Linked DNA regions of Drosophila melanogaster. The protein of the gene in region 3 interacts with the protein of the main gene of each other region in a pairwise test. Each region holds a gene or a part of one and is shown on either strand. Other genes may lie near its edges.

What was found.
Region 1: the proteins of CG34188 (region 3) and Osi9 interact in a two-hybrid assay, tested with the Drosophila melanogaster proteins (one large-scale study listed by BioGRID).
Region 2: the proteins of CG34188 (region 3) and EMC5 interact in a two-hybrid assay, tested with the Drosophila melanogaster proteins (one large-scale study listed by BioGRID).
Region 4: the proteins of CG34188 (region 3) and CG30080 interact in a two-hybrid assay, tested with the Drosophila melanogaster proteins (one large-scale study listed by BioGRID).

What each region holds. Positions count from the first base shown.
Region 1 is NT_033777.3:6,257,358-6,265,096, forward strand, and holds Osi9 (osiris 9), read left to right. Parts: upstream 1-2,853; 5' UTR 2,854-3,055; coding exon 3,056-3,190; intron 3,191-3,252; coding exon 3,253-3,508; intron 3,509-3,981; coding exon 3,982-4,292; 3' UTR 4,293-4,748; downstream 4,749-7,739. Other genes in the region: Osi10a (osiris 10a), read left to right, coding at 6,619-7,078, 7,448-7,739.
Region 2 is NT_033779.5:18,985,846-18,992,630, reverse strand, and holds EMC5 (ER membrane protein complex subunit 5), read right to left. Parts: upstream 4,925-6,785; 5' UTR 4,843-4,924; coding exon 4,761-4,842; intron 4,696-4,760; coding exon 4,643-4,695; intron 4,575-4,642; coding exon 4,380-4,574; 3' UTR 4,338-4,379; downstream 1-4,337. Other genes in the region: CG15169 (uncharacterized protein), read right to left, coding at 519-1,556; CG15170 (uncharacterized protein), read left to right, coding at 2,404-2,476, 2,544-2,678, 2,860-4,337; Swip-1 (Swiprosin-1), read left to right, coding at 5,721-5,959.
Region 3 is NT_033778.4:15,424,990-15,432,185, forward strand, and holds CG34188 (uncharacterized protein), read right to left. Parts: upstream 3,035-7,196; 5' UTR 2,986-3,034; coding exon 2,611-2,985; intron 2,558-2,610; coding exon 2,434-2,557; intron 2,360-2,433; coding exon 2,244-2,359; 3' UTR 2,102-2,243; downstream 1-2,101.
Region 4 is NT_033778.4:15,695,691-15,704,830, forward strand, and holds CG30080 (uncharacterized protein), read right to left. Parts: upstream 6,007-9,140; 5' UTR 5,986-6,006; coding exon 5,939-5,985; intron 5,883-5,938; coding exon 5,689-5,882; intron 5,634-5,688; coding exon 5,524-5,633; 3' UTR 4,174-5,523; coding exon of another isoform or gene 3,998-4,173; intron 3,929-3,997; coding exon of another isoform or gene 3,898-3,928; 3' UTR 3,464-3,897; coding exon of another isoform or gene 3,326-3,463; 3' UTR 3,036-3,325; downstream 1-3,035. Other genes in the region: CG33461 (uncharacterized protein), read left to right, coding at 29-74, 132-310, 373-788; CG33462 (uncharacterized protein), read left to right, coding at 1,130-1,334, 1,389-1,434, 1,511-1,689, 1,752-2,224; CG42662 (uncharacterized protein), read right to left, coding at 3,326-3,463; CG46433 (uncharacterized protein), read right to left, coding at 3,898-3,928, 3,998-4,173.

The DNA.
Region 1 (7,739 bases), on a different chromosome or scaffold from region 3:
AAAATTACCCAAGCGCACCAGAGGCAGAGGCATGTAAACAGCGCCGGGCTGCAAACTAGAGCCGGAGCTGAGCTGGGCTGAACGGAGCTGCCTTAACCCGGAATTCCATTCCAGCCAAGCGGAATGAAAGTGAAACTTTGAAAAGGTGTCAATTTTGGAGATGCCACTGAAAAGGTTTGGGGCGGCTAAGCGGGTGGGGCCGCAATTGAGGATTGTTTGCTTTGAATGTGCGATGCTTTAAGGCGGTTTTATCTCTAGAGCGAATATTTCGCATGCTTATTTGGGTCAGCCAGCGAAATGGCCAACTATGAACGAAGGAGCCATCAGAAGATAGCTTGCGAATTAATTGAGCGCACTCTATTGAAATGACTGGGCTAAACTGAAATATTAATACAACTAGTTGTATTAATATGAAATAAACTGCAATTACTAATACGTTTTAAGAGTATTTAAGAGCTTTTCTCCTCAATAAAACCATAACTTAAATTTTAATGTTGTTTCTATATTGCATCACTCAATGTTTAAAGTGGCGCAGTTGAAGTTGTATAAGATGTTAGCAATTAAATTACTTTTTCACTTTCGTTGCGCACGCACAATGCTAATAACTTGCATCATATTGACTCTTTAACACTCTAACTGGGACACAAAAGACGTACTTCACTGGGTTAAATATTTTGATAATTTTTATGTATATTATAAATATTAAGTGTGAAAGACAGAATAAACAATTTTTTCCATATTTCTCCAATTAGCTTGTGTGTAATAATGTAAGAAATAAACTATTAAATGGTTGTTTTCAGTCCGAAGCTTATGAAATATAAAAAAAATATATATTAAAGGTTTTCTATCAAAGATTTTTCATGTAAAGATAAATATTTAGAAGCATATTTATGCATATTATATCACGTTATTATTATCATTATAGATAAATCTAAAGGATGGACTGAATTTGAAAAGGGCCATTGCAGAAAGGGCATTAGATGAGACACATCACACATCGTGACAGTGGCTGGCATATCCAAATCCAAATCTACATCCACATCCATCCATATGTTCACGTGCACGGCATTTACATATTCCATCAACGGATTTTGGGCTCATGTTGCCGCTTTGGATAATCGTCTGCGAAATGTCGAGTGGCTTTGCATCTAGATGCGAGCTGTGTGTTTTGTGTCTGTGAGGTTGTTTTCGGCAGCATGCAAATTTGCGGCGTAGCTTTCTTTCGGGGCACTTGCTCGTCTAATGCGTGAATTACCGGCTAACGATGAGCGATGGACGCTGGACGATGGACGATGGACGATGGACGGCGGAGCGATGGGGCGGCAGGCAGACGTGTGGCAATTTTTGAGTGCTGCAAATTAAAGCGACATAATGCCAATGAAACTCTAGTGCGACAGTCGCTGTGCATCCGTCGACGGCGATCGGATTGGCATACAAAAGTGCAGATACATTATGCGAGATGCCCGCTGGGGGCACAAACAAACACATAAATAAAAAGCAAAATTAAAGTGAAATTTCCTCCACCGTGCCGCGGCAGCGCCAGCAAACTAGTTAATTTTCTATTTTACTCCAATTCGAGTTGCGGTTGCTTTCGACCATCGCCGGCCATCTTAAATGGCGCTCTTGATTAACCACCCACCGCCCACTCCCGCCGGACTACCACTCGTGTGTGTGTGTGTGCGGTCTGTGTGTAGGCAACTGCAATTTGAAATGAAACCGCTGCTGCCGGCACTTTCTGCTGCACTCGAGATTTACACAGTGCTGAAAGTGTGCCATCATCAGGTGGCGCCTCAAAGGTGCATCAAATACGTTAGCCACGTATTACAGCTTGTTACATTTTACCTGGGTCTGCTGTGTAATCAAATAGTCCAGAACTAAATAACAACTCACAGTCCTTCAACCAAATAAATATGCAAAAGATTTGTAAAAAGTGGAAATACAGGCAAGCGTCTAGTTGGGAAACAAGCGGCTTTCAAGAGCGTATTCTCCCTTTTGCAGTGAGTTAGAAACCTCACATGATTTCAAAGGTGTTGCAAACGTATTGTGTGCAAAAACACAACATAAAAGTAAATATGTAATGGAAAATTCTGTTTATTTTGAGCCTTTTAGCTAAGCTGATCCCAGTTGGAAGGGTTAATTAAATTGAATTTAAGCTGCCAGTTATAATAGCATATGCCGTATTCTAACTCTGCAGTGACCTGCAAAGAAAAATCGCTCCTTTTAAAATGTATTTTGAAAAGCTGGCTGACTTAATCCAGGTAAGGTACAGTTGCACCCTTGTTTACGAAAAGTATTGTTCTAAGCATTACCACATAGGATTAAGATTCTTATAATTCCAAATTTTATTCTTATAAATTTAATTCACAAAGCTTTCCCTTAAAGCGACACGTAATGCAAGAAAAATCAATATTTAAGGGCTGGCCGATCTGTCTATTGGCCCCCTGAACAATTGGCCTTCTCCTTGTGGCAGGCAAACAGCTAACTGCCGCCGAAGTGTGTTGACAAACAACAACTGCCAATCCGACGAACTCTGCCAGCGTAAACGGCGACCGCGCCACCGCGTCCACTTCGGCGCACCTGTCCAGTTGTCGCTGCAGCGCCTTGTATGGCCGGCCACCAAGACTGTGCGACTCCGAGTGCGACTTCGGCTGCAACCTGGCCAGGTTCGTGGTCGGGTTGTTTATTTAAATTCTAAGCTCGGCTACTGTGTGCGATGGGCCAAGCGGGGCAGTCGGGGGGCTCAGACCACTTGCGGAGCGCTAAAGCGTCAACGTTGTCGTTGTCGTCGCTGCTGGCCAACGCTGCCGCCGCTCTGCTGGCCGGGAATAAAACTCGATCCGCGTGCGTCTTCTAGCCACAGTTTACCGGTTGCCTTCTGACCGACAGATCGAACACGCCAATCGAGCGCAGTGCACTCAATCAAGTGAACACACACACACGCATCCCCGAATCGCCAGGAAGTGGCAGGATATCAAATCAGCGCAGCAGTGTCGAGTGTTTGTGCGAAGCATTCAAAAAAAAAATAATACAAAAAAGGAAATACCCATCACGAGCCATGTTCAAGTTCGTGTGCCTTTTTGCGCTGATTGCCTCCACGGCGGCGGCTACCTCGGAAGCGGACAGCTTGCTGACCAGCGCTTTGAAGATGGTCAAGGACTGTGGCGAACGGTCCATGGTCTTGTGCATGAAGGTAAAGCATTTAGTTGCCAGTAGCCCGAGAGAAACCTATCCTAATTCATGATCCACCCAAAGGAGCGAGCCCTGCACTACTTCGATGCCGAGAACGGGGATGTGCGGCTCACCGAGGGCATTGCCCTGGTCAAGACCGATGAGATCCCGGTGGGTCGATCCCTCAACGAGATGCAACTGCCCGAGGAGGTTGAGGCCCGGGAGGCCGAGGTGGACTCCCTGCTGGTGGAGCGCGTTGCCCGCTTCTTCGGCACCCACACGCTGCAGTTCAAGGTGCCCAAAGACTCCATCCAGGACATGCAGCGCGCCCTCGAGGAATGTGAGTATCTGGCTAGTACCCATCGAATCCCACATAAATTACAGTTCTGGTCTGGCCAAGACATTGCCTATTTGGGTTACTAATGCAAGCGACCAGTTCGGGCAGATGGCTCTGGCACAAATCCTGTTTTCACTGTTAAGTCTCCGCCATATCGAGGTCATCCTGTGATGCAGCCAGATGCCCACATAGGCACATGGCCACATGGCCACATAGCGGTGCATTGGCAGCTGGTTATCCAGATAGTTGGCTATTAATTGCACTTTAGTCAGGCAGTTAGCAAGGCTTACTTTCTTTTTGTGCGCAGCGGCTGCAATTTCCGATTTCCAATTTCTATGCGCAGCCACATAGAAAGCGGTCGATCCTGTTCGCTTGCTAATTATCTGTGCTCCAGTTGCTAATGAGCGGACAGCTCCGCTCCAGCGAAAGTAATGCAAATCATATAACTAACTACCAAATCGTTTCTCCCCCTGCAGCTCGCGGCAAGAAGAAGGAGAAGAAGAAGTACCTGATGCCCCTGCTAATGCTCTTCAAGCTGAAGATGGCCGCCCTGCTGCCCCTGGCCATTGGCTTCCTGGCCCTGATCTCCTTCAAGGCCCTGGTCATCGGCAAGATCGCCCTGCTGCTCTCCGGCATCATTGGGCTGAAGAAACTGCTCGAGTCGAAGAAGGAGAACTACGAGGTCGTTGCGCACCCGCACTACGAGCACGAGCACAGCTACGGCCGCTCGCTGCCATCTGATGACTCCCAGGCCCAGCAGCTGGCCTATGCGGCGTATAAGCAATAAGCTGCATGCCAAATATTCTGAATGCTGAATGCTGAGGCAACCGTAATCAGTGCAATACTCGGAGGGCCGTCTAATTTATCTATTTATTTAATTTATTTGTATAGCATAGTTCATGCCAGGCTTACACACTTAAGGCGCCATCAAGAGAAATAGAAGGAAAGGTAAATCCCGAACCCACACAAATAGGTCTAAGGAATCAGCAGCTAGGGACTGCCGCCAGAGGGGAACACCTGGCGTCGTTTAATCTATTCTTAAAAATGACTGCCACTGTCGTATTAATACTCAGAGCTTTATTATTTAAAACTCTACGCTTAACTTAACTTAACTCAACTGAACTCTTAACCAAACTATTAAACTAAACTGCCTAACTCTGAACTGCCGCTAGGCGCAGAAAAAGCCCCCCTGGCCAAGCCCTCCCCCACACAAAACAATAAAAGAAATGCCGCATTTATTCCGAACATGTGTATTGCTGTCTTACTGTTTCAATCGAATATCGCTCATACGCAGCGAATTGCTTTCACTCTTTCACCGGCTAAGGCGAACTAGGCCAGCAATATCAATTGCATGGGCGACACACAAAATCACGGAGCAAGATCGCCGGATTTCACTTGAGCCAGCTAGTCAGCCAGTCAGCCAGGCGTAAAGCGCAGCAGAAGCCTCTTCCTCGGTCTCGGTCAGTTATATATAAACACATATGTATATCCAATGTCGCTCCAGAAACTGGCTCACATCTCGGCATCTCGGGAAAATCTAATGAATGTTGCGACCTGCTTTTTTGTTTTTTTTTTTTTTTTTTCGCACACGCAGTGCAACACGTACGCCCCAAACAAATTAGGTGTGTGGATGAGAGCATGGATTCCAGTTCCAGCTGGGAGCACGCCCCGCGGCTGCAATTTATGGCCGTGGCCTGGCATCGCCATTCGGCATATAAATGGCCAAAGCCGACAAAACCCAAGGCTCAAAATGGCCAAAAGGCCAGGCCGCCGCCTCGTACGTCTTTTATTTTTTGTTGCTAACTATTTGTAAACAACTGCAGGCAACTGGCAGTGAATTTCAAGTATTGGCGGTGAAAGTGTTTATTAATACAATTTCTTTTCTGTCGCTGCGCTTTGCAATAGGAAATTTATTAGCTGTCGGCCATTGCCCGCGACCTGGCAATAAAAGAAAACAAACTTTTGTAAAATTACCAAAGTTTTCGGCGACAACCGCACAGGCTAAACCGTAATTCCAATGCCAAAAATCCTTAAAATTGGCCTCGAATGATCGAATAACTTGGGAGGAGTCTAAACTTCTCGAAACTTTATCTTCTCGCCTGTCTACTCAGTTTTGTCAGGGGAATTGGGGTGTTCTTGAGTTCGCCAAAGGTCTTGGGGTGCTAAGTTATCAGAGACTTTCATAGGGGGATATTCAAATTTCTCCCACAGCATTGACTAGGAAAATACTCACCTGTTTTTGCTGGTATTGCAGTCAAGTCTCTCTTGACGTGCTGGCATCACCAAACCAAAGTCTTAACTCTTACTGGCTTCGCCTAAAAGTTTGCTAGGACTTAACTCTCGAACTCAGGGGATTATTCCACTGATTTGTATGCCGTTTAGCTTCATTGTGAAACTGGTTATTATGGTAAAGGAAACGTACATCTTTGTTCTACAAGTAATAATGTAACGTTCTGAAACTTTTTCGATGTTTAAAAAATACATGTAAATAATATTAAAACGAGAATAGTTATGGAACTAAAAAATGTATCATTATAAACCTTTTTGGGTTCGGGTTTTCCTTAACACCCAAACCAAGTTGATTTCCCAAACGTAAATCGGTTTCCCTCCTTTCCGCTTGTTTGTTTTCTTAATTGACTTGTGGCAATTTTCAAGTTTTTCTCTGTAAACGATTGAACATTACTGGTAATTCCCTAAGCGACTCCGTTCATTTAATGGACCGGCATTAGCAATGGTAATTGTAAATATTCCGCGTGGTCCGAGCGGTGGCGCCTCCAAGTATTTCATAATTCCTGTGGAAATACAATAACTGCTTGCATAATGGGGGAGATGTGCGAAAAATTGGCCACCAGTCGCTGCAGCTTTGGGTCGTGTGCACTGACCATGACCATGCCGGCTTAAATAAGAAGCGGCCCAAGACGAAGAGCCCCTGGTTGGCGTTGATGTACAACAATTTCCGTTATTGGGCCATGTGCAAAAAACAGCGCGTTAACTGAATGAGAGCAGATTTAGCCAAAAGACCAGTCGGTTATTGTATAACAAGATTTGGCGGATATAAAACAGAAGGGTCAGTTGGCCAGCGGGCTCAGTTGAGATCAAAACACTCGACCATTATGTCGCCACTGGATATCGTTTTGCTCCTGGTCAGTTTCCATCAAGTGATTGGCAGTGACTTTTCCGCCATGAGTTTGGAGTTCAAGCAGTGTGTTCGTGGATCACAGAAACCGAAGATCGGTGAATGTTTAGGAAGATCCGCTCTGAACTTCATCCAGAAATTAGATGAGAGCGATAACGTAAAGTTCGTGGAGGATTTTGTGACAGTGAAAAGTGAAACAGCTGCAGTCAGATCTCTATCAAATGTGCTCGACACGGATCCAGTGGACTTCCGCGGTATCCTCGAGAATGCTGGCGCAGTGATGGGTCAACGGAGTATGGAGTGGCATATGGACGGCCTTTATCCTGGACTTATGTTCAAAATAGGTCCCACAGCGGATGCGAATAGTGTGGCCGAGTTCGTCCTCGATGGAGCGGCGCAGGGAGAGCGACAATTTGGATTCGAGGATCCCTCAACCGGTATGCTTTCAAAATCGGTGCAGATAATATTATTAATAGAAACCAAACTTAAGCGAAATATATATTGAAATATTTATTTATTTGAACACTGTATGCTTAACTTATAAAACTAAGCTGAAGTATGGGTATCAGCCATAGCTTTTGGCTGCATATAAATTGATATTGAAATTGATATCAATTTATCAAATTTAAATATTTGACGAAATTTGAGTGTATTTCAAGGTGAAGTTTGCAAAATGTTCAGAACATTTCTTTCAAGTGTTAGTCCAACATTTTTTGTTGTGCTTGGTGAAGAAAAACGTATGCGAGCCAAAGACATTATTAATATACATATATATTTTTTACAAATATTTATTAATACATTTTCAGGTCGCGTCTTGACCAAGCAGTATTTACTGCCCTTTCTTCTGGGCTTAAAGTTCAATCTGGTGGCCCTAGTACCCCTGATATTTGCTGGCATATGTCTGCTGCTCAAAAAGTCATTATTTTTGGTCAAGCTGGCCATATATGTGAGCAGCTTCTTGGGACTGGGTGGAATCGTTGGTGGACTTGGAGGATTGGGTGGTGGTTTTGGAGGTGCCAGCTTTGGCGCTGCAAACTTTGGTTTGGGTGGCTTTAGTGGCCACCGTCCAATCGGCCAATTTCCCGGAAAGACTACGGT
Region 2 (6,785 bases), on a different chromosome or scaffold from region 3:
ATATATTCAATTTTGGTTCCGCTGATCCGTGCTTATAGACACGCTTCGATGACTTAGCCAACTGCAGTCTAGGTTCTGTTGAGCCATTTTATATCCTCTAAATGATATGGTTTCAGGAAACGTACTCAAGGGACCAAATTTAAAAACCGTTCCCAGTATCCCTGATCCATTAAGCAGCTGCTGAACAATAATTATCTTGTAATATAAGTACTAGTTATGTTCTCAATCAAATGTTTCGCCTTGAAATGCTTTATTTTATATACATTTGCATATTAAGTACAGTATATTTCACTATTTAAGAAAGAAAACGAAAATCCCCACGCGCTGCAAATAGATTAAGTTTCGTAACAGAAATTTATATTAATTGGGCTTATGTATTTCATAGATAAACTAATTTATCTAGACAGACAGCGATATAATCTGCGATTTTCAGTATTAGTCATACCTATCGATTTTTAAGTATGCCAATCTCCATTTACTTTTTAATTGTTATGACTCAGAATAGCGTGGGTGGATTTTTAAAAAGCCACCTGCCAGCTAACCAAACCGATGCTCCAGATAAGGAATAGCACCCCCGGATGATGGGTGACTGCTGCAGAGCCCGGAGTGACTTCATATTCAGTCATGTTGTGAACATTACAATTGTCCTCGTAGCACGTGGGACACAGCTTCTCATTCTCGGCGCAATAGCGAGATAGCTCCATATCTAACTCGGATACACAGCCCCGATGCAGGAAGTACTTCTTCCCCGGAACGACATTGGGATCGTTGAGCAGTATGGTGCGACATCCATTCCTTTTGCCAGGTATCGGGCCGCAGTTTGACTTTGTTTCATTGGTGATCGTTTTGTTGCAGAACATGCAGGAATAGCAGCTTAGGGGTTTCTGTTCTGGATCTGCAACTGGGGGCTTGTGTGGTGCCAAGGTTGTTTCTTCTGGGGGTGGAGTTGTGGTGTCCTCCTGGGGCCCATCAGCCGGGTAATCGGGCGATCCTCCCATTGGTTCCTCAGTTTTGTTTGTTGGGTGAGTTTCCAGGACCTCCTCTAGTGAAGTTGATGGGCGAGTATCGGGAGTCACTGAAGAGTCTGAAGACGAGTCCGAAGTATCCATATGTCCGGACGATTGGTCTACTTTGTCGGTTTGAGGAACTTGAGTTGGCGCAAAGCCACCGGAATTCCCGGTGGATTCCTTTTCTGGCTCTTCTTTGTCCCCTTCTAATTTGTTATCCGTTTCCGAATTAGTGTCTAAGCTTGTGATTTCCGGTTCCTTCTCATCCTCTCCAGACTGGTGGCCTACCTGTCCAACTTGACTTTCAATAGATGACAGTTCCTGTGTAGGCTCAGGGTCATCAGTTGGACTTTGTGTTGTGTTCAAAAATAAGTGACTTTGTCCTAGGGATTCTGTGTCATTTTCACCGGCTTCAATGCCTGAGTTTTCTGACTTTTCACCCGCTAGTCCGCCGCTTAAGCTGAACTCTTCAATGTTGTCCTCCTGCGCCCTGCTCCATTCAAGGAGAGCAGTTAGGGAAATCCAAATGACCAGCAATCTCATCCGCATCGTGGTCACCGATCGGTTGTAGCTTCGCAGAGTGTATGACTCGGATGGCGAATGAATCTTGAACGGAACCCGCCGAGTGGATGGGCTTATCAGAATGTATCTTTCGTTATCGGTTTATCCCCGTTTTGAAGAGCTCTGCAAGCATGGGTATTTGCTCCGTTCTGGCCACCGATGGGTTTGTTATTCCCGACTTGTCCCGTGCCTGTTTAGCTGGCAACTGAGGTCGATGGTCATTAAGCCGCCTGGACATGTGGTATGTGTACTCGAATCCGCTGATTGTCACGCAATTATCCGGTCTCTAAATTAAATCGATATGTTGGGGCGGTCGCCGGACCCTTGACCCACACTTTTGAGTAGCTCCAGACTTTCCCGCAACAAATGCGAGCCCTTAAATTATTGATGATGTGAACGTTTCGATGGAACCTATGGGACACTCCGATAATGGGGTCAAGGCACAGAGCACATTATGGTCATGACATTTTTGGCCATTATGCATATGCCGGAATAAAGTTGGGTAACCTTACAACTGTGGTTGGGAAATTATCTATATCGAAAGGATTTCGTTAGGACATCAAGCAACTCTCTATTTTAAGCCTTAAAATAATTGAAGAATTTCTACCAACGTAAGTTTTTTATGGTGGCAATTTAAGAACACATTTAGCGAGTGTAACTTTTTATTTAAATGATAATGTTTGGTTATTTTAAAGTTAAATGGCTTTTTCCAGCTTATCCTTATCAACAGTTCGCCTATATCAACTCATTGTTATATTGTCTGATAAGTCATAAACAGATTAGGGATTCCAATTTTGCAAACAAAGGTGCACTACATTCTTTATGAGCTGTCAAAATGCGTGGACTGCAGACAAATCGCCACTCAAGCTTCCACCACCTGCTCCTCCTTTTCCTGGTCCTCCTGAGATGTGAGCTACCTGCGATTTCCCACGGAAAAATGCGTTGTAACCTTAGAGGGGTTTTTTTTTTTAATAGCAGACCGTTGTTTTGGCATTGTTTGCTACCACTGCGATTCCATTGCCCTGCCGGAATGTTCCCAGACCCTCGGAGAAGTGGGAGTTCTTCCCTACAAGGAGTGCGCTACCGAGCTGACGTGTGCCATGTCCATTGGTAAGTGAACCTAAATGTGATTTGTAATTGTTTCTAAATCGACGGATAGTCGGCCATTTTATAGAATCTATTTTTGCAATTCATTAATATTTCAAAGGTAAAGACCATTGATATTGATTGATACATATTTGAAATATTTAGTAACTCCGATTTTCTATACCATTAATCGCACACAAATTAGTGGACTCCATTACATACCGCGGCTGCGGAGCAGAAACCCCCATCATCGGAGCGACTTACTCAAAGACTTGCTCAACGAACCTGTGCAATGCGGGTGTCTATCCGCCGGGACGACTTAAGTGCCATCATTGCGCTGGACAGGAATGCGTGGCAGCTCCAGCATCCAAACCAAAACCCTGTCGCTATCATTTGGAAGAGGATCAGTGCTACACGGATGTCATAAGTTCTTCAGATGCCTACAGAGGTTGTACCTCCGAGCAGAATCACACGCTGTCCACTTCCGCCCAACTGTGTGAGATCAATGGCTGCAATGAGGAGCAAGGAGCTTGGACCCAAGTCTGCGCCACCTGCGATTCAGCAATCGGCCGGGGTTGCAAGATAGATCTCTTTCAGGTCAACACCGGCAGGTGCAATGTTAGCTTATACGAGGAATGCCAGCAGGATGTTCTGTTGGGTGAGCAAGAGGATAAGTACTGCTTCAGCTTTCGCAGACTAAGCCGCGTTGTCAGAGGATGTTCTACTAAAATTCCAACAGATTTGGAGCCGTATGTAGAGCAATTAGAAAAGTGTAATACCAGTGACCACTGCAACGCAGGATGCATTACGCAGCAGAAGTGTTTTACATGCAACTCCGTGGATCAGGAACTTTGCCGGACAAATATTACGGCTATAGCTAATAGCACTTGTAGCTCCGCTGAGGCCTCTTCCTGTTTCTCCTGTGAGTACTCCAACTGGAGTATTCAGCGAGGCTGTGGAGCACCGCCGGAAAATCCTCAAATCACCAAGTGCTATGAATGCGATGAAGGCGCTGGGTGTAATAGTAAGGATTTCACCCGGTGCTACCAATGCAGCACGGATCAAGCGGGAGCAGGCTGTGCAAATTGGGAAAGTCCTGGCGAAATCTACATTGAAGAATGCGATGAACCGGCTGCACCATGTGTGGTTGTTTCCTTTAACAACGCCACCACTGCGAGAGGTTGCCAAAAATCGGACTTCAGCTGTGCTTCCGCAAATGTGGCCAGTTGTCGACTATGCGAAGGAAGTTTCTGCAACAAAGGATCATTTCCGGAGGAGCGCCTCTGGTGTCATCAGTGTAGGGGAGTGCAGGACTGCGAGGAGATCTCCAGGGGACAAACGGCTATGCCTTGTCCGGCTCGAGCAAATGAGCCGGAGGATCAAGAATTGGCCTGCTTGGAGTACTTTGACATCAACAGTAAAGAAATTGTAAGAGGATGTCGTTCCAATCCCGAGCTATACTACGAATGTCTCTTAAGGAGTAACCACTTCGACAGTTGTCGCACTTGTCACAGTCAGGCATGCAATAATAGTCCTGGCCGGGAATTAAGAGCCAGCTATGAGCTGGAGGCCAAGGCATTGTCCTTGTTGCAAGGCAAGAGTTCCGCAATATCCATCAAATTTTCGAATGCAGGTTACGGAGTTTGGTTGATCTTTAGCGTTATCTATATTGTAACTTGCTGAGACTATAAATAAAAGGATAGCAGAACTTAAAAGAAAGGTCTCTTATTCCGGGGGCGTATATCCAGGATTTAAGGCACGACCACGGTGATTGAAGGAATAGAACGAGGGGAAGTTGCCCAAGGTGTCCCAAGTTTTCTGTTGCATGTCCACGGTGGCGCGAATTTCCTTGAAGTTGCCAACGATCTCGATGATGTTGTAAATCACAATCACCAAACTGATGACGGTCTGCAGGATAATCTAAGGATTGATAAAGGAAAACTTTTCGTGAGTAACCATGCAAGCACCCTAAATGCACCGAAACCTACGTCCAATGGAAGGCTATTCCATTCCTGCTCCGTCAGCCTCAAATAGGTGCGATCTGTGGAGTAAATGCGGCACTTAGTGGTCCAAAGTTTATTTACCACAACAGTGACGAAAACTTACGATGGGCAGCAGAAAAAGCAGCATGTGCCAGGCTGGCAAATCCGGCAATTAGCAAGAGTTTGTTAAACAGTTTACTGCCCATTTTTATTGAACAATTACGAATTACAATCACAGTCGGTACAATTTTCTACAAAATTTTGCTAAATTGCTATCAAAATGCGGGCACACCTAGGGCTGGGAGCTTTGGACGATAGTTTAGGGTTGTCTGTATACCTCATATGCCGTAATATATTTAAGAATCTTAAATTTAAATATTTTATTGGGAACAACATTAAAATTATACAAAGATTGATTTTGTGATCAAACTAATTATATAATTATATTATAACTATATAAACATACAATAAATATTCGGTTACATATTTTGCTTAAGAAAGTTAAAAACTTTCGTAAAATTTGAAACCGTCTGTTCATCAGCTAGCTTTAAATAATGATTATATACATTATTAGTAACAGAATGAATTAAAAAAATTGTAAGGTATATATATTGCCTCGAAATTCAGCTGACTTTGGTATTTGTCAGCACACGGTCACTCGAAAAATGCCGCCGCGCCCGCTGGTATATTTGAACGCTCGTGTCACGGTCGCACTTTCATTCGTCTCTCAGCGTTCAGAAGATTCGGTAGTCGCGGCGGTCGAAGCGGAACACCAGTTGTCCAATAAGAAAGCCAATTTGCAGCAAAAAAAAAAAAAAAGACCGGCAATTCAAACGCACCTTGCAACTGTTTTTTCAAAGCCAAAAAAGGACTCAGGGCCACTCCCCACGACAAAAGCTTACGTGCAACGAGTCCGTGTGTGTTTTCCTGGCGCATCGCCGCATTTGTGTGTGTATCCGGACATCTCTTTTACGGTCCTTTTTGCGTGGGTGTGCCAAAAGGAAGAGAGAGTGAGAAGGCAGCAGAAAAGGGCAGAAAGGGAAATTCCAGCACACTAAAAAGCGAGTCAACAAGGAGCGACACAATGTCCGTTTCCTCGAACGCCTCATCCGCCTCCAACAAGGACAGCGTGGACAGCCCCAGCAGCACCACCAACACGGACAGCTCCGAGCTGACGCACATCCTCAATCGGCGCCAGGAGATCATGGAGTCCCAGGAGGCGGGCATCGAGGTGCGTCGCACCTACAAAGTGGTCAACGTCTACACCGACTTCCCCGAGTTCTCCCGTAACCAGATCAAGGACTACCAGAAGACCTTCAATACGTAAGTGAAGGCCGCCGAGCAATATTTACTTTTGTCCAGAGCCACTTTAAGGCGCAATATAAATTATATTAATATGGCGAAAAGGAAGCCAACATTTTGTTTATTGTTTTTGAAAACACCTGAGCAAAATCCGTTGCAATAATAATAGTTTATGATAAGTAACGATCATCTCTAGATTATTAAATAAATACAGTGTACTAGACACACTTGTATACATTACAAACGTTTGTAAATGTATATCTATTACACAAGATAATTCAAAAACAGAAATCAGTTTGCAAAACTATTTTAGGGCTTTCAATTTGCGCCAACCTTTACACTCCTTTCACCTGCAACGGCCACTTTCCCAGGCATCTCACCGCATTTGCGTCTCATTAAATGGCAACATAAAACTCATGCGCCTAATGATCATTTAAATTGCATTTACTGCAGCCCCTCCTGCAGCCAACCCACCCCTCCCCTGCCCCCCTGGGCAATGGGGCATGACTCACAAGTACTTGCGGAGAAGTTTTGTCACAGTCACTGGCTTATTCCCAAGTCGTGCTCCCGTCGCGCGGATCATGAGTCAAAAGTGGTTTTCTGCCCCAACACTTTCAGGCGGATTCAATTATCACACCACAGTCGAGCTCCCCTAAGTGCAATTTCTGTTAGCAAAAGCCAATCTTAAATATCGGTAATTCCGTTCAAAGTCATCATTCGATTATAGTGGCAAGGAAAAAGCTTATCCCACGTTAATACTCGTAATTCATTGAAACATTCTTTATTTATCTCTAAGGTTCTAATGCTCGACCTTAAGACTTAATAGCACCCATAGCGGTTATCGAGG
Region 3 (7,196 bases):
TTTGGGAAAAACCATCAGGCTTTTGACTGTAACCTCAACCTCTGGGCCTGCAAGTGAATCAGCTGTTGCCGAACAGGGCTCGGAAAAGTCACTTCAGAGAGAGCAAGAGAGAGACAGAGAGTGAGAGAGAGAGAGAGAGAGAGAGCGCGCGCGGAAAATTGCATGCGAAGCGTTGCCAGACATTCGAGCCATCTCCCGATGTAGCTGTTTATAAAAGCAGCGTGCAACGGTCGCTCCGAGTCAGTCACGTGCTTGCACTTCGACGTATACGTAACGCGGCTCGCCAGCTCCGCTCTTGGGTGATCCGTTCGACAAATTAGCCGTAGCCGTAGTGCCGTAGCCGTAGCCGTAGCCGTACTTCCGCAGCCGTATCCGTATCCGTAAACGCGCCGTCGTCGTCGTTTTTCGTCGCGACTGAGGTGCGATTGGCTGCCAATCGCGCAATTGGAGGGGCTAGCTAAGAAACCAATGCAAACGAAACACAAACCTTAAATCCAAATAAAATTGAAATATATTAATATATATATATCCCGAAAACAGACACCATTCATATATATATATATATCCTCCTAATATATATGCATAATTTTAGAGCGCAGTTCAGGGCAGGCTTTTCTAGGCGAGTTGTTCTCTATTTTGATAGCCACACACAAGATAAATTGAATTGAGTGCAGCGCGTAAGTAACCAAACGATGATCAAAATAGTAATGCAACCAACTAGTCGACAGTCCATGTAAAATAACTTAGCTTTATTAACCAATCACGCATACGCACCGTGCGCCCAACGAATTCGAATCAAAAAACAAATAGAAAAGAATATAAATAAACAAAAAACGAATTAATGTAGCACTGCCAGAATTACTTCAAATCTTTTGCCTGCCTTCTACAACAAATTTCTAGCCAAGTAGTCGAAATTCGTGGCCAAGCGCTTAATTTCACCAATCAGAAGCTAGTGCAAACTAATGCCAATAAAACACAACTCAATCAATCTAGCTAGCTCGTATGTACTGTAAATAACCAATACTCTTTGCTAATCTAGATGTAGTTTAACCTATTCTTACTCAGTAATTGCAACATCAACTATGTAAAAATCTATCTAGAGCTAGAGGCTCGGCTCGCTTTGCATTTTGTAATTTCGTGACCTTTGTGCCTGCACCGCACCACCCGAATGTGGGTGCAGTCGCAATAGCACCCGTACACGTACTTGTAACCACAAAATACTACCAACTACCAACCACCCACAACACACTTCGCATCCGTATCCGCATCTGAATTCGCATCCGAATCCAAATCCGAAAGCTATATCTTAATCCGACTTCGATGTCGCGAGGAGTGGAAATCCGTTTGTGAACGGCCATCACTTGAAAAATTGAAAGAGAGACTAGCGACCACGGCGACACCTCGAATTTGTTGTTTGTTAAAAACACTTTGCGTAAATAAATACCAGTAGCCGAGAGACACACGCACACACGTACACCCCCTCTCTCACAAAATATATACATAAATAAATATATATATATCTGCCACATCATGCGCGTTATCGTTCTCAAAAAGAATCGGCCCAACAAACGCGGCACGCCCACGGCAGCAGCGGCCACCTCCTCGCGAGAACCGCCCAAAAAATCGCCATACGCAAAAGTAAGAATTTGAATTTAAACTCGATACTCTCAATATTTGGTTTCAATTTTCGACGATGAAATACTCGTTATCGCGATAACGAGCGTTTCAGCCTTTTGTTTCCTGTCCAATTTGCCAGTGCAATCAATTTTTGAGATTCCTACACCCCGATATTTTATATTTTCAGTGTGCACATTTGCTGGATTTTCCCATGCAAATGTGCAAGTTTTCGCGCCGCTCGTGTATGTTTCATGATTTTGAATGCAAATGCAATTACTTAGCCACAATAAACGCATGTTTAAGTAGCAATCTGTGCATACATATGTAGCTCAAAAATTGGTTGTAGTGGCCAGGCATGTTATAACTTAACTACCAATGAAATATTTGTTTAAATTACCATATGCTTTACCATATAACTAAGCTAAAAACGCTTTTAAGTCAGCATTATATAGCATTGTTTTAGATATGAAAATGACAAAGTATTGCAGTATATTGTGTATTTTTTTCCAAATTATTATGAGTACATGCTTTTTCAATTTGGGAATGCAACAACACAAGTAAAAATTAAATAATTGTAAGTAGGAGCTTGCAAATTTAAATGTATAGTTTAATTATCTTGAATTTAATTAAACTTCCTCCATTCGTGTGAACAGCACTTCCGATTCCTGCACGTTACGACGAAGTTTTTGCTGCAATTTCAAAACCAAGGAGGCAACCACTGCGCAGAAATAGATTTCAAGAACTGAAATTTGTATTAAAACGAAAGTTAAGGGTTAAGAAGGGGTATACACATACTACTACTACTTCTTTACTCACAAATAGAAATGGTAGAAAAGAGAAAAGTCAGCAGCTCGTCATCTTGCATGATATCATTACAAGTGCTAATTAACAAGGTTATAACCGTAATACAAATCCAAAGGACGAGACAGGATATGTGACTCTGGAAAGAGTATAGTATTATGTATTATTTGAACTCGTATGAAAGCTACTTACCCATTCTGCACCTACAATAAGTAGCACTGATCTGAAGATAGTCAACGAGATTAGTGCTTTTTGGAAGAAGAGGTTAGTTTCAAACATAGGCGTTCTCATGTTGGGTCCCAGCATATCTCCGTCCGGTTCCCTAGTGACAAGCATCGAATCCGGTGACTCCGTAGTTGTGATTGTGGTCTTGACCTCCATCTCCGACAAGTAAATGCTGCACATTTGTAGCACATTTACCAATGCTTCGAATCCGGCGATCAAATTGCAGCCCGTTTTCAAGCTGAAGAAATAAAAGCAGCTATTCAGTGGCTTTATTCCATTGATATTTTCATTAAGTCGGGTCCAGTCATTGGGGGAATTCAGAAAATTTCGAATATACGCCATCCTCAACCGATTTCAATAGATTACTGAAATAAATGCCGCTAAACAATTCGTTGCCAGCCTACTAATGAACTTTTCATCGATAGCCTGTGATTGAGTTTTGGGTTTACTTCCGATTCGGTCAATCGGAGTTAAGTGCACAAGAAAATCCAATTTGATTTATACGCTGCGGCAGGGAGAGCCCCAAAGTGAAGGAAAATCTAAAACAATTCAATTTTCCAAGTGTTTCAGCCAGAAAGAGAAAAACAAAATAAAGGCAAAAGCGGACAACAAAAAATCGCTTCCATCCTGTTCCGCCAAACCCTCCGGTACTTGTTCAACTTGTTCCGCCCGATTCGATGGCACAATCAGTTGCCCATAAGCGAAATTCCTTTACTGATTTCCTTTTAAAAGCATTTTTCGAATTGTCTTGACTGCGAAGCAACCACTTGAGTCAGTCCGTTCGACTTTCGTTCCTTATTCCCTCATTTCAGTTTCATTTCGGCCCTGTTTCAAAAATGCCCGAAGCCAAGTCGTATTTCCCATTTATTTATTATTGTATGGCGTGCTGCTACTGCAATGACATTTTGCTGCGAATATCCCTTATCGGTTGCCATCCGAGCCAATATGCTTGAATTATTCCATTTGGCTCGAGAGTGGAAACTCATTCAATTAATTAATCGTATTGTGACTGGGAATTATTTTTACTGATTTAAAATGCACAAACGGGCCACCTGCAAAGCAGATTAATTTCGCAGAACTCGAGAAGAGGCTTTCGGTCCCTAGGATTTATGGTTAAGCATGTTGCCGCGCGTCGACTGAAGGTCAAAAGCTGTGCTCCTTTTGTAAAGGGTTAATTTTAAATTTATGGCCCTGCCCACACTAACTTATTCGAGTCGAATCCTTGCCCAGGGACCTACGACAAATCCGTAGGCCAATCGTGACGGAAGCACACAAATTTGCACGTTAACCGCAACCAAAGCTACAATGGTGGTGTGCGTGGGAGTGTCTCTTTCTGCGTGCGTGTGTGTGTGTGTGTGTGTGTGTGACGAGTGCTTGTGTGGGTGTAGGCTGGTGTGTGGGTGACACGGTGATATTTCTCTGGGTCCTGACACGTTATCTGGGCGACGACCGTGTTGGTTCCTACTTTATTTTATTGCTTTAATAAATATGAAATGCTCTTACTTTTTTTTCCGGACATTCGGCATAGTTTTGCTTTTTTCGCGCCACTCACCATTCCCCATTCACCACTCGCCCCTCGAGTGCCACCAATTAAGTTGCCCAAATTGTGTTCTTCTTTATGACAATCCTCTTAATCTTAATCACGCGACTTGATGTCCACAAGGAATTGATGCCCGCGCGTTGAATAGGAATATTTATACGCATGCGGTTCTATAGGTCCATGGGTCTATGGCTCTATGGGTCTATGGGTCTTTGTATTTGGAAGCATAATTTGCTCGGGCATAAATTTTAATTAATCATAAAAACGCTGGCATAAAAATGCCAACAGGTCCTGGCAGCGTTTTCTTTCTTTTGCTCAGTTCTCGCGTCTCAATCCCCTGCAGCCTTCGCCTAGCACATTCCATCCAGGAATTCATATTCATGTTTAATAATAAATCACAAGATGCCGCCGCTGTTCGCCAGGAGCTGGGGATGCCCGGGGGCAACTGCGGTTGCATCCTTGGAATCCGCACAGAAAAACACTGGGAAGGCATCAGACGAAGGCGAAGTCAAATGCCAAAGGAAGCCCCAGCAAAATGGCGGCGGCATAAAAGGATTTGCGGCTAAAGGCAAATTTAATTAAAGACATCAGCACCGCCTCACACACAATGGCGCTGAATCAGGAGCAAATCCCTTAGCCTCAGCCGTTTTAATTGCCCACTACCTGTTCCTGTTCAGTCTGTTCAGCAGTCAAGCGGCCAAAAAGGACGAACCGAACAATGAACAATGGGTATTCATTTGCGAATTTCGGTATCAATTAACCGACCGCCCATTCATCATCAGAATCGTATCTAACGGATGTATGCTTCAACTAATTTAGTGAATGAACACGAGGAGAAAATGTTTTGCAGTTCTGCAGTTTTACACTGAAGGTTCTCGCTGTTGGCTGATAAATAATTAAGTGGCAGGGTCACAGCCACCAATGCAAATAAAAAACGGTGAAGCAAAGTGAGTCGACTTTGAGGTACCCTGTAAAATGTCATGTGTTAAATATCTTAAGTCAAGCGAAGTATGCTCCACGGCATTAGATACATATCTTAGCTAAAACTTTTACATTTTCTCTTACAAAATTAGAAAAAAAAAATATAAGAATTTTTTTAAAAAGTCAACTAATGTCCCAAATGCTGATTCTAAAAAAGTTGTAAATGTACACTGCTGCTTTTACTGGAGGCCAAGTGGGAGTGCCTTCGGGGTCGTTTGGCTGAAACTGATGGACACTTGGACAGACAGATTTTTGGCCGCTTGGCGCTCTGGAGATTTCACATTTCGTTGACGCACGAATGGCACGAAAAACAGTTTCAGTTTTCAGTTTCAGTTTCGATTCCTGGCACTCGCCATGGGTATCTGGTATATGGCATATCTGCATGTGAGTGTGTTTGCATTCATTAAAATTTCATTTGAAAATCAGCAGAAATGCTGCTCTAGCCTCTTCTAGTCATTTGTTTTGCCAGCCACGAGAACTTGCCATTGTATTCCCCTCGGATAGCTGCTCCTTGGTAGGGAAGTATTCGCCTGTCAGCAGGAGCCAAGTTGATGGAAATCTGTGAAATTGGTAGAAAAAGTGCAAGGACAGGCAAATCGTAAGTTGATATGCTTGTGTCTTGAATATTTTATTGCTGGAGAGATAAATCTGATCCGCAACTGAATACATGTGCCGAGTTTAGCACTAAGCACAAACTAAGTTTCACTCGCATTACATGTAAATTAAATATTCGTAAGCACGTGAAATAGAGACATAATAAGAAGATATGTCTTCGTCTCTAAAACATTAGGAATCTAAGGTGTTTTTATATATTTAATGTGATTAGAATTTTGAAAAGCAGTCTTAACGAAATCTTTTCCTTTTTTAAAGCTTCAATTTTTACTCGCGAGTATGGAAGTTGAACTAGATAACAGTTTGTGTTGCCATTATTAATTTTACTAGGAAATGGCCTTGCTTTCGCTCGCTGTCGTTGCAAATCGAATAACATTTTTATTCTTCCCTTGGCGATTTCGGTGGAATTTACGATTGCGTCAAAAGTATGCCATGCTAGCCAAGCCAATAAAGTTCACTCTTTATGGACGGAAAGGATTCGTTTGAAAAGCAAAAACGACCTAATGGTTTTAAAATTCGCTCACCCACTAATGCGAACCCTTCAAATCCTTCAGCTTTTGCTGGTCCTGCGAAGCTAACGGCTGTTTATCTGACATTCATAGTTTATGCTTCGTGTTCTGTTCACCTTACTCAACAAGATAAACGCAGTCGAAATTCCCTGGGTGAAATGGGATAAAGGAAGATGAGCAAAAATATGGCTAGGAAACAGGGAAAACCACGATAGCAAAGGTGGAGGTGGGGCGATGAGCCAGAGCAGCAATGATAAAACTAGTAAAGCATACAACATTGTTTGACTTTGTGGATTTGGTGAGGCATGGAGCAATTCCACTCGTACTGCCACCCACTTTCTACTTTCCACCCACTTTCTACTTTCCACAGGGCGCCTCAAAGCATTTTTGGCAGTTAACCCGTAAAGATGATAAATGCGAATGTCTTTGCCGTTTGAGTTTGAGTTGTTGCAGTGCCTACTCAAGGAATTTATGGCCATCCGAAAGACGACCATTACAAACAAAGCGACAAGGAAAACAATCAGAGAAAATGGAAAAACGCGAGGCCGAGCTGCTTGAGTTTTCTTCTCCTTTAGGTGAGATTGACAGAGCAGCTGGCCACTGCATTCTCCTGCCTCTCTCGTGGCTCTGCTGATCCTGGCCAAACAGAAAGTCACATTAATCAACACTTAAACGTTTAATTGCCGTACATTAATCTTGAGGTTAAGCCGCCTCCATTTGGCCCCCAACTGTCAATTTTGGCCGGTTTGTGTGGGTGTGTTCTTGTGGCCTTTTTCCGACTGCCACAGCTCCGGCATTAATTGTGTCATTTGGCAATTAACTTTCCGGCCCCGTTGGAAAACGTTGGGGTGACAAATTCGGGGCTCGCCGCTTGTAAATATTGATGAGCCGCGGCTGCCACGAGGTGGCGA
Region 4 (9,140 bases), 270 kb from region 3:
CTTTGATTAAAATATATACCACTTTCAGGGTTTGTATTGACGTCGGCTCATTGCATTGAAGACGATGTGGAATTGTAAGTGTGATGATGGTAATCAAAAATGATTTTAAATTCTTTACTTGTTTATTTAAGAATTGCTCGCTTGGGCGAAAACAACAGAGACAACGATATAGACTGTGAGAACAACAGGTGCTTGGAAGCCACCCAGGAGTACAATGTGGATATGCTCTTCAAGCATAGGTTATACGATCCCAAGGACTTCTCCAATGACATCGGAATGCTAAGGCTGGAGAGGAGGGTTGAGTACACATGTGGGTTGAGTGGACGTTGATATAGAAAGATTTTCCATTTATAATGTATCTTTCGATTGCAGATCATATCCAACCCATCTGCATTTTCCACCATAGACGTATGCAGTTGGTGGTGGATCAGATCACCTGGTTCAAGGCCACTGGCTGGGGTCTCACGTCTACCGATTTGAATACCAAGTCATCCCGCGTTCTCATGGAACTGAATCTCTACCGCCGACCAAGAAATGATTGCGCCAGAATCTTTAAACAAAACTTTCTTAGCGGACAGATCTGTGCCGGAAATGATGATGGTAACCTTTGTAGAGGTGATTCCGGTGGTCCGCAAGGTCGATACGTATTGATTTTCGGCATGAAACGCTTCGTCCAGATGGGCATCGCCAGCTTCACGTATGAAAATTGCAGCAAAGTTAGCATTCTCACGGACGTGGTTCGATATGGCAGATGGATCAAAAAGGTAGTGGATTGGTATGGACGGTGAATAAAATACTTCAAAATAAACACAGATACTAAAACTAATAAATTACACATACATTGATTATTTATATTGGGCATGCAAGTTACATTTGATATATATATTTTTTTTTTATCAATTTGTTAATAAAAAAACATACAATTAAATGATAGATGAGTACAGATCAAGATGTAGTATAAGCAAAAATAAAATGGGGAATTATATTTTCAAGTTCTTTTGCTCATCTTTTGCCGACATTGTAGGCAATTCCCAGAACGGCACCAGCGATAAGGGGTCCACTTTGTGAAGCGAATAAAACCTGCAGAGGCTGTTCGAGAATTCAGTATATCAGAAAGAACCTCCAAGCAATGAGCAACTTCATCATTGGAATCGCAGTAATTTGCTGTCTGTGGCGTCGCGTGCAAGGATTTCAAATGCTCCTGGAAGAGGATTGCGGGATTCCGCATAACATTTCTGAACGAAGTGTAAATGCAAAGTTGGCGCAGAATCCATGGATGGCCTATTTGGAAACTCCAAAAGGATTCCATTGCTCTGGCACTCTAATTAATCACTGTATGTTTGCATATGATATACTTGTCGTGCAGATCTAATGCAACTCTGTTTCAGTGTTCGTCTTAACGGCAGCTCACTGTGTTCCGGACGACTTGCTAATGTAATTAATCATTAAAAACATATTTATATATTACGATTATACTCAGTGTGAATCTAATTAAACTATTTTCTTAAAGAACCGTTCGCCTGGGAGAGTACAACACGAAGACTAAGGTGGACTGTGACAACCACCTGTGCCAGGAACCCTTCCAGGAGTACAATGTGGATATGGGCTTCAGGCATAGGTATTATAATGCGAATGACCAAACCAACGACATCGGCATGCTGCGACTCGGAAGGAGGGTGGAGTACTTAAGTGTGTCTAGTTAGGATATGAGTACGACATTTTTATAATATCGATGCATTTCACATATGCAGATCACATACGTCCGATTTGCATTTTCGCAAGCAACCGTTTCCAGGAGCCGATAGACCAGCTCACCTGGTTTACGACCACCGTTTGGCGTGAAACTGCCGCTAACGCAACGAGCAAAGTTCTTCGGACCATGAACATCGACCGCCAACCCAAAGAGACGTGCTCCGAAATCTATGGCTGGAATATGACGTTCGAACAGATCTGCGCCGGCAACACCTTGAGTCAACTCTGCAGCACCGACTCCGGGGCTCCGCAGATCCGCAAAATGTGGCACAATGGCTCAGACCGCTATGTGCAACTGGGCATCGCCAGCAGGGTGAAGGGCCAGTGCCAGAACTCTGGCATTCTCATGGATCTATTGAGCTACGCTGACTGGATAAAACGGGTGGTACGGCAATACGGACCCTCGACGGATATGAACCGTTCATTAAAGAAATGGGTCGATAAAATTCCAGTATTTTACTACCCGAAATAATATAATATCAATAGTAAGCTTTCATTGCTAGTCCTTGTTTAATATAATAAATTAAAAAGTTTAATGTTGAACAATAAAGACTATGTCGCATTTAACATTTCTATGTTTCTAAGCAAAGAAACTCAACAAATCTTGTTTTCCTTTTAAAAAAATTACAATATTATTGGCTTAATCTCAATTGACTGATTATGATTTTCTTGTTATACATATAACAAATCCATCTGAGTTTCAAGACTTTTTATTTTAGCCAAGTTTCGCATATATTTGTTACATTTCATGTAGAAAAGATTCGATCTTACATTGTTGGTTGAAAACCATGCTAAGCGTTGGTGATGTAAAATTAGGAGGATATGTATGTAGATTGAAAAATTGTTTAAATGCATTGTGTAATGTTTAAATAATTAAACATTTTTTAGTTTTGATAATACATTTTCTAGTAATTTTTTATTTATTTATTAAAACAATTTTAAAATACTGAAATACCGCAAAACTTAGTCGTATGTACCAATGTTCTTCATATCACTTGTAGCTCTTTTGCACGGAAATTTAATTTGCTCAAAACACTTGTTCCAATAAGCAAAACGTGATTGCTTATATTAGCTAAGGTCAGCTTCTAGAGTATGCCACGGATAAAGAAAGAAATTCGTGCTAAAGTCGTTTGAAATTGGCCCATTAAAAATGTTTTCTATAAACAAGTTCGGATCGCATGAAATTGCAACCTGTTTTGCAAAGAGTGCGAATAGCTCTTGCTAATCGATATTTCAGAGCCCTCCCGATCCCATGTTATCTGCAAGTTGAGCAAAATGGTTGTGTTCATATACATTGCATTTTATATTATATTTTCACACTAAAACTAATTTCTAAGTATTAACATTATAGCACATAAGTTAGATTAGTTACGATGGGATGAGCTATAGATAATTACACATGTTTCTTAACATTAACATTATTAACATATAACATAACATTATTTGTGCAGTTAGTTGATATGGCGATATGTCGTCGAGCCGGCAATATACACAACCGGTTTTTGTGCCGCACTTTCGAGAGATTCGATTGCATCGGACTAGGTTGAATCGATCTTAGTAGACCACGATGGAGCTACTGCATGGCGTGTCTTGGATGGATGTAGTGGGATCCGGAGTTGTTGTCCTCCCGGTAAATGGCGGTCATCAGGAGCAGCAGGGTGCCGGCGATCAGGGCTCTAAAGACTTTGTCAACAAATCGAATGTGCTCCATGTTCTGATGCTCGTCGACTGGTCGAAGCTTTGGAATTAGCAATCTTAGCGCGTCTGGCTTTGAAACGTTACTGAACGCTCGTCTTGATAGCGACCGGAATTTATTGCAGCTCCAAGCGAGGTGTTTTCCCCCTACTGAAGGTTGGATGGTGGAATTGCTGCGGCAAGGGTAGTTTCCCAGCCGCCGACTTGGAAATGCCCCAAACCCAATCGCGTTACGAGCACTTTACAATGCCACAAATTGTTGTATTTCAGAACTCTGAAACAACAAAGCGAAACCCCCCTCTCGGAACGAGATCGTTGACTGACTCTCTGCGTATCGCTATAATGAATTCAACTAACAAATTTTGGCATCGTCAACGTGCCAAGATTGCAAATCAAAAGCAATCTGTTTTGAAGACGAGGCGACGACGCATTTTCTTGGATCATTGCTCTTTAAAACTGACAGAGACTGGACTCGAGGAATCTGGAAGAATCGATATAGGGAGGGACATTTTTTTATATGTATATCTAATATCATTGTATCCAAACTTACCTAACATATTGCTGGAACTTGGGACTATGGCAAAATTGAATACAACTGCGCCACATGTTTTGCGAGATCTTTCGATATAAGGAAAGAGTATTTGCGGCGAGACTACTAGAGATCCGAATGGGATTCAAGGTCCAGTTAAGGGGAAAATCCCGCTCGATGTTCTGCAAGTGTGGCATCTCTCGATGAGTTCTCGTTTCGGACTGAGGATCAAGGACTATTTGATCTCAGGTAGGGGCGCAAGCAGCTGCATTTTCTTTGCGCCTCCAGATGCCCAGGGGTAGGTCATGTCCTTAAGAGCAGGATGGAGTGAGGATCAAATTCTTGTTACCTACAATTCGCAATATGGTTTACTCTTTAGATGTGTATCTAACCGAAAACCTCTTTATGCTAGTAATATGACTGATGAGCAAATCTTCTCTTAATTCAGTAAAAATTCAGCTTTAAGATACAATTATGTTAGCCGAAAACAAAGATATTAACAGAAATGGTATCAACGCATTCATTCTTCACCCTTTTTTATATTTAAAATAAATATTTAATGTTCTCTATCCTGCACTGCAGCATTATTTGTTTCTCTGTAAATTTAATCACTGCAATATGCAATCAAGCTACCTGTAATCAGATAATCCACAGAGATTCCTCTGAAGTTTGACTGTCTTCTGCATTCAGTTCATATCAGAGCTTGGTGGCGCAATGACGGTTTTGCAATTGCTGCTCCTGGTCATATGCCTTAAACTTGGTCAACAATCCGGACAAGCAGTTCCCTTTGGAAACCAAACAGAGAAGCCCTGTAAGTGCCAGCAGATGAGGGGTGACCTGTAGTAATGTTTCCCTCCCCAAGATCAAACATACTGCACCACCTACGATCAGAAGCCAGGCAAATGCTTACACTACAGAGAATGTTAGTGCATCGCGAAAATAGTTTCGAAGCCAAAGGACCAGCTGACCGCCAAGGACTTGGAAATAAAGAGGAATGCCCCTTGTTTTTCAAATTCTAAAGTGAGTGGTCATTTAACAAAGCGACATATGCTGATATTCCAATCTTTCAAAGAAATTCATTTGCTGTGAGGAATTCGTGCTGATTGCCAGTGAGAGTTCGTGCGGAGAATTCGGGGATCAGAAGATAACTGGAGGGAGCGAGATTCAAATGGGATCTCGACTTTGGATGGCCTTGCTGCAATTGAATCTTTCAAAACCGAATGAGAGGTTATCCTTTGCGTGCGGTGGCACGTTGATTAGCCCACTTATGTATTAAGTTAGTCCGAAACCAGGGAGTCTCGGTTAATATTTTAATATTAATATTAAATATTATTATTATTATATTATTATAAAGCAAACAAGATTATTAAATAGGTGACATTGATAAGATAATTCATGTACTTTAACATAAGCGAATAGGAAAAACAACTTAAGACCAATCTTACTTCGGACAGCCCCTAATGTTGAACGTTTTAGAGTTTATCAGGTATATTGCAACTAATTGCAAGCTCGTAGTTTTCATATGTCTTACGTTAGATACTTTCAAGCTAAATGGTTTGGTTATCTACGCTGAGGGCATCCACTAACTGGGAAATTCGTTGAGCTCGCGTCAATTTCCACGATACGCAGGACAAAGCCGTGATGAAGAAGCCAATCGCTATAAACCCAAAGTTCATCATAGGAACAATCAATTCAATAGCACTGTTACTCACCCATTAGGAGAATGGCCTCGGAAGTCTCATCCTGCCAGGCTTTTGAGACAACGCACAGTAAAATGAATCCGCTGAGCAGGCAAAAGGATCCAACTACGACGGCCAGTGTTATGAGTATGATCACCGGATCGTTTAGAGGACCATAATCAAAGAGTGTACGGCAGAGGGACGTTTTCCGGGGCATAGGAGTACCACTGTTGAATAAAAACTAACTAGTAGATTTGCTAATCCAAAACTGTGCACTACGAACCAGGCTTGAGAATAGGTGGGTAGAATGGGAACAGCTCTGCACTCCATGGCGCTCCTAAGGAAACTGAAGTTGGAGCTCCACACTAATGTTTTTGGGTGGCTGGCGGGCCCTACTTCTCCACATTCTAAATTTAGCCCTCAGTCGCGGCTGACGATCGCAGACGCGTGTCTGAGATTGGAGTTAGGGCGTTACATTATCTATTTATAGCCATCTAGGAAATGGTTCGATCCGGCGGAACTAGCGGAACAGATGTTTGAGTTCAGCCGGCTACTTCTGCAGTCACAATGCGTCTATTTTCGTATCTATTTTCTATGCAGAGTTCAATGCTCTGTGCGTTGAGCTGAAGAAGAAATCGAAGATCCCGAGAAGTCGTGTAATGTAATAAATCAACTTCATTACTGCCTCATAAACGTCGAAAAAGGAGGCGTGGCGGGGGCGAACAAGTGCGAATCATTAACTCGATGTCTCGAAGTTCACGTTTCGCATGTGCCAAGGTAGCGTTGACAACCGACACGCGCAGTTTCCCCCCGCATTTTCCGCCCATCACCGGCGTAGTTATAGAAATATACTTGGCTGCTGCATTCAAGCGAGCTGTAAATTATGCAAAATAACGACGTCAAAGTTTCAATATAATGAAGCCAACGGACTGGCGGGAGTTTCGGGGCCCGCAGGTTGGGGAATATTATAGTCTGAAATTTCATCCCTAATGTTTCTATGCCATTAAGCCAAATAGAAAACGAAAAGCAACTTATGTGCCATAATGTTATACCTTTAGATTCCATGGATGCATGAGGGTGAATTTAAAGTTTCATTTCATGCACGTACTTAAGTTTTAAATGGTTTCGAAAGTATGTGAAACGACTAGTTGTGAGTTACCATTAAATATATTACTTTACAATTGTTTAATTGAATTTCGGGTGCATGTAAAAACTCTAAGGTTTCTTTACAACAGTTGAATGCTAGAGGTTATAACATTTTTCCCCTTGGTTGTGGCCTGAGACCAACACTCAATCACTGCCCCAAGTCCTGAAGACATAAAAATCAAATCGAAGCCGTCGCCATAAACAATTATGAACTTTGTTGCACATTGTTGTCCACACATGGCCACACGGATCCTGCTCCTTGTCGTCGCCTTGGTTACATTGTAAAACGTTTTATTGTCGCCACCATCTGGCGACGATTTGTTGGCAGCAGCGCACCGCCGCCAGACGCCCAGCCACCCACTGAAACCACCGAACCCACCAGAGGTGCCAATATATCCTTTTTCTTGCTTATTTCAAACCCATTCAGCTAATGGAAAAATACCATTCCCGGTTGGAAAGGCATAAAATATGACCTGATATGTATCTAATTAGAAAAATTACTCCAAAATAATATTTAAAAGTTTTTTGATAATAATATTTTAAAATTATTTTGATAAATAACCGTACTTCTTTTTTTAATTTAACTTTTTTTGCTTATTTGCTCATCACTGAACCCACCCTAAAAATCCGATTTCAAGGTGTAAGCCGGCGGCACGACGACAACTGTTATGCTTATCGGATGCTTTCTGAATAAGAATAAGAATTCGGATGCGGATGTGGATGTGGATGGGACTCGAGTGCGGATCCCAGGCGCTGAGGCAAATTGCTGCTGATTGTCAGGTTCAGGCGACGCTGCGTAAATAACTGAAAGTGGTCCGAGGTGCCAACTGCCTTTGAGCCGGACCCAAAAGTTTGGCGAAGCACATTAGACGGCGATGGCCAAACTTCGGACCGATTAAGTTGGGAGTCGCAATGAAAAGGGCAGTTGGCAGTTGGCAGTCGGATGATGGTGATGCTGAAAATCTTATCGCCGCACAAGAACCCGTTTCTTTTTAGTGCCGCAATCAGCGCTGTTCACTTGCAATGGCCGTGGCAGGACAAATATTTTACTTTTACTCTTTCGCGTCCGTTTCGAGATTCATTTTTTCTTATACCGTCTCCGTTTCTGACTTTAACTTTCCGCCCCACTCCCCCCAAAGTTGAGCTCTCTAATGCGCTGCAAAAGTGTGCCAAAGACGCTGACAGCGAAATCAAACACAAGTCGGTTGGAGTACATATATATAAACGGACAAGCAGCGGAGAAGGTCCTGCAGAAGGTCCGAGGAAAGGATGCACAAAGTTAAAATTAAATTAGCGTTTTTTCGAGCTACGCAGGGTAGCAGGGCGATGAGAGGTTGGGTCATTCTGGGCCACGAAATGAAGTCCAAGGGCACGCGATTCTCTGGGGAATGCAGGGTATCTATGGGTCGAATCCGAATGATTCCCACTAACAAGGTATTCGCATCCTAGTGCCACTGTCTGTCACTGCCTGCTACTTAGCCAAATTAAAATTTCAGAGCACCAATGCGCTGCACGATGTTGGGCTACATAAATAAGAAGCTAATTTGAAATAACTATACTAATATCTACATTTTTAAAAGTTATAAACTAAATTGGTACCAAACAAATGAGCTTAATTAAATATGTGGTATTCCTTCAGATATTTTATAAGTTACAAAACTAGTTGTGTTATAATGAGATTCTGTCAAGGGATCATCGTAACTTGTATTTTCTTAATTTATTTAATTTAAATTTGAAATATTGGTAGAGCATTAATCCTTCGACTCGCGAACTAAGCAGTTTCGCTTCCGTTTCGCTGTTAGTGTCCTTTTAGCGCTTCGCATTTATGCTTGTTTAAGCAAACGCCGTGTTATCGTCCGGATCCGGATTCGTGTCCGTGTCCGTGTCCGAGTCCAGTCGAAAGGATAATGCGCGTAATTGTTGTCCGTGCCCGGCAGTTGGCGCTGAAGGAGCGCCTCTATTTGCATGGAACGCATTAAAAGTCGCTGGCGCAGCGCCGTGGCAATTCAATTTAAACGAGTGGCATAAGCGCAATCTGGCAAACTAGGGATTACCACTAATGCCGCACGTATGCATGTATATATCTGGTATCCGGAGTTTAGTGCATATATGCCAATGCTCCGGGAATGACTTTATCGGTACTCAATGGCTCAATTGTTGGACCAGCCTCTGTGACTTTCGCTCTCAGCCCTCTCGACACATATTCGCATATCCGCACATCCGCATATCCACATTCGCATCTGCCAGAAGAGCCAACGGCAAGGGCACTTCGAGTGCAGTCAGTTCAGGTCGAGTGTTCATTAAGCGAGATCAATGGGTTGGCATATGGTCACCGTGGC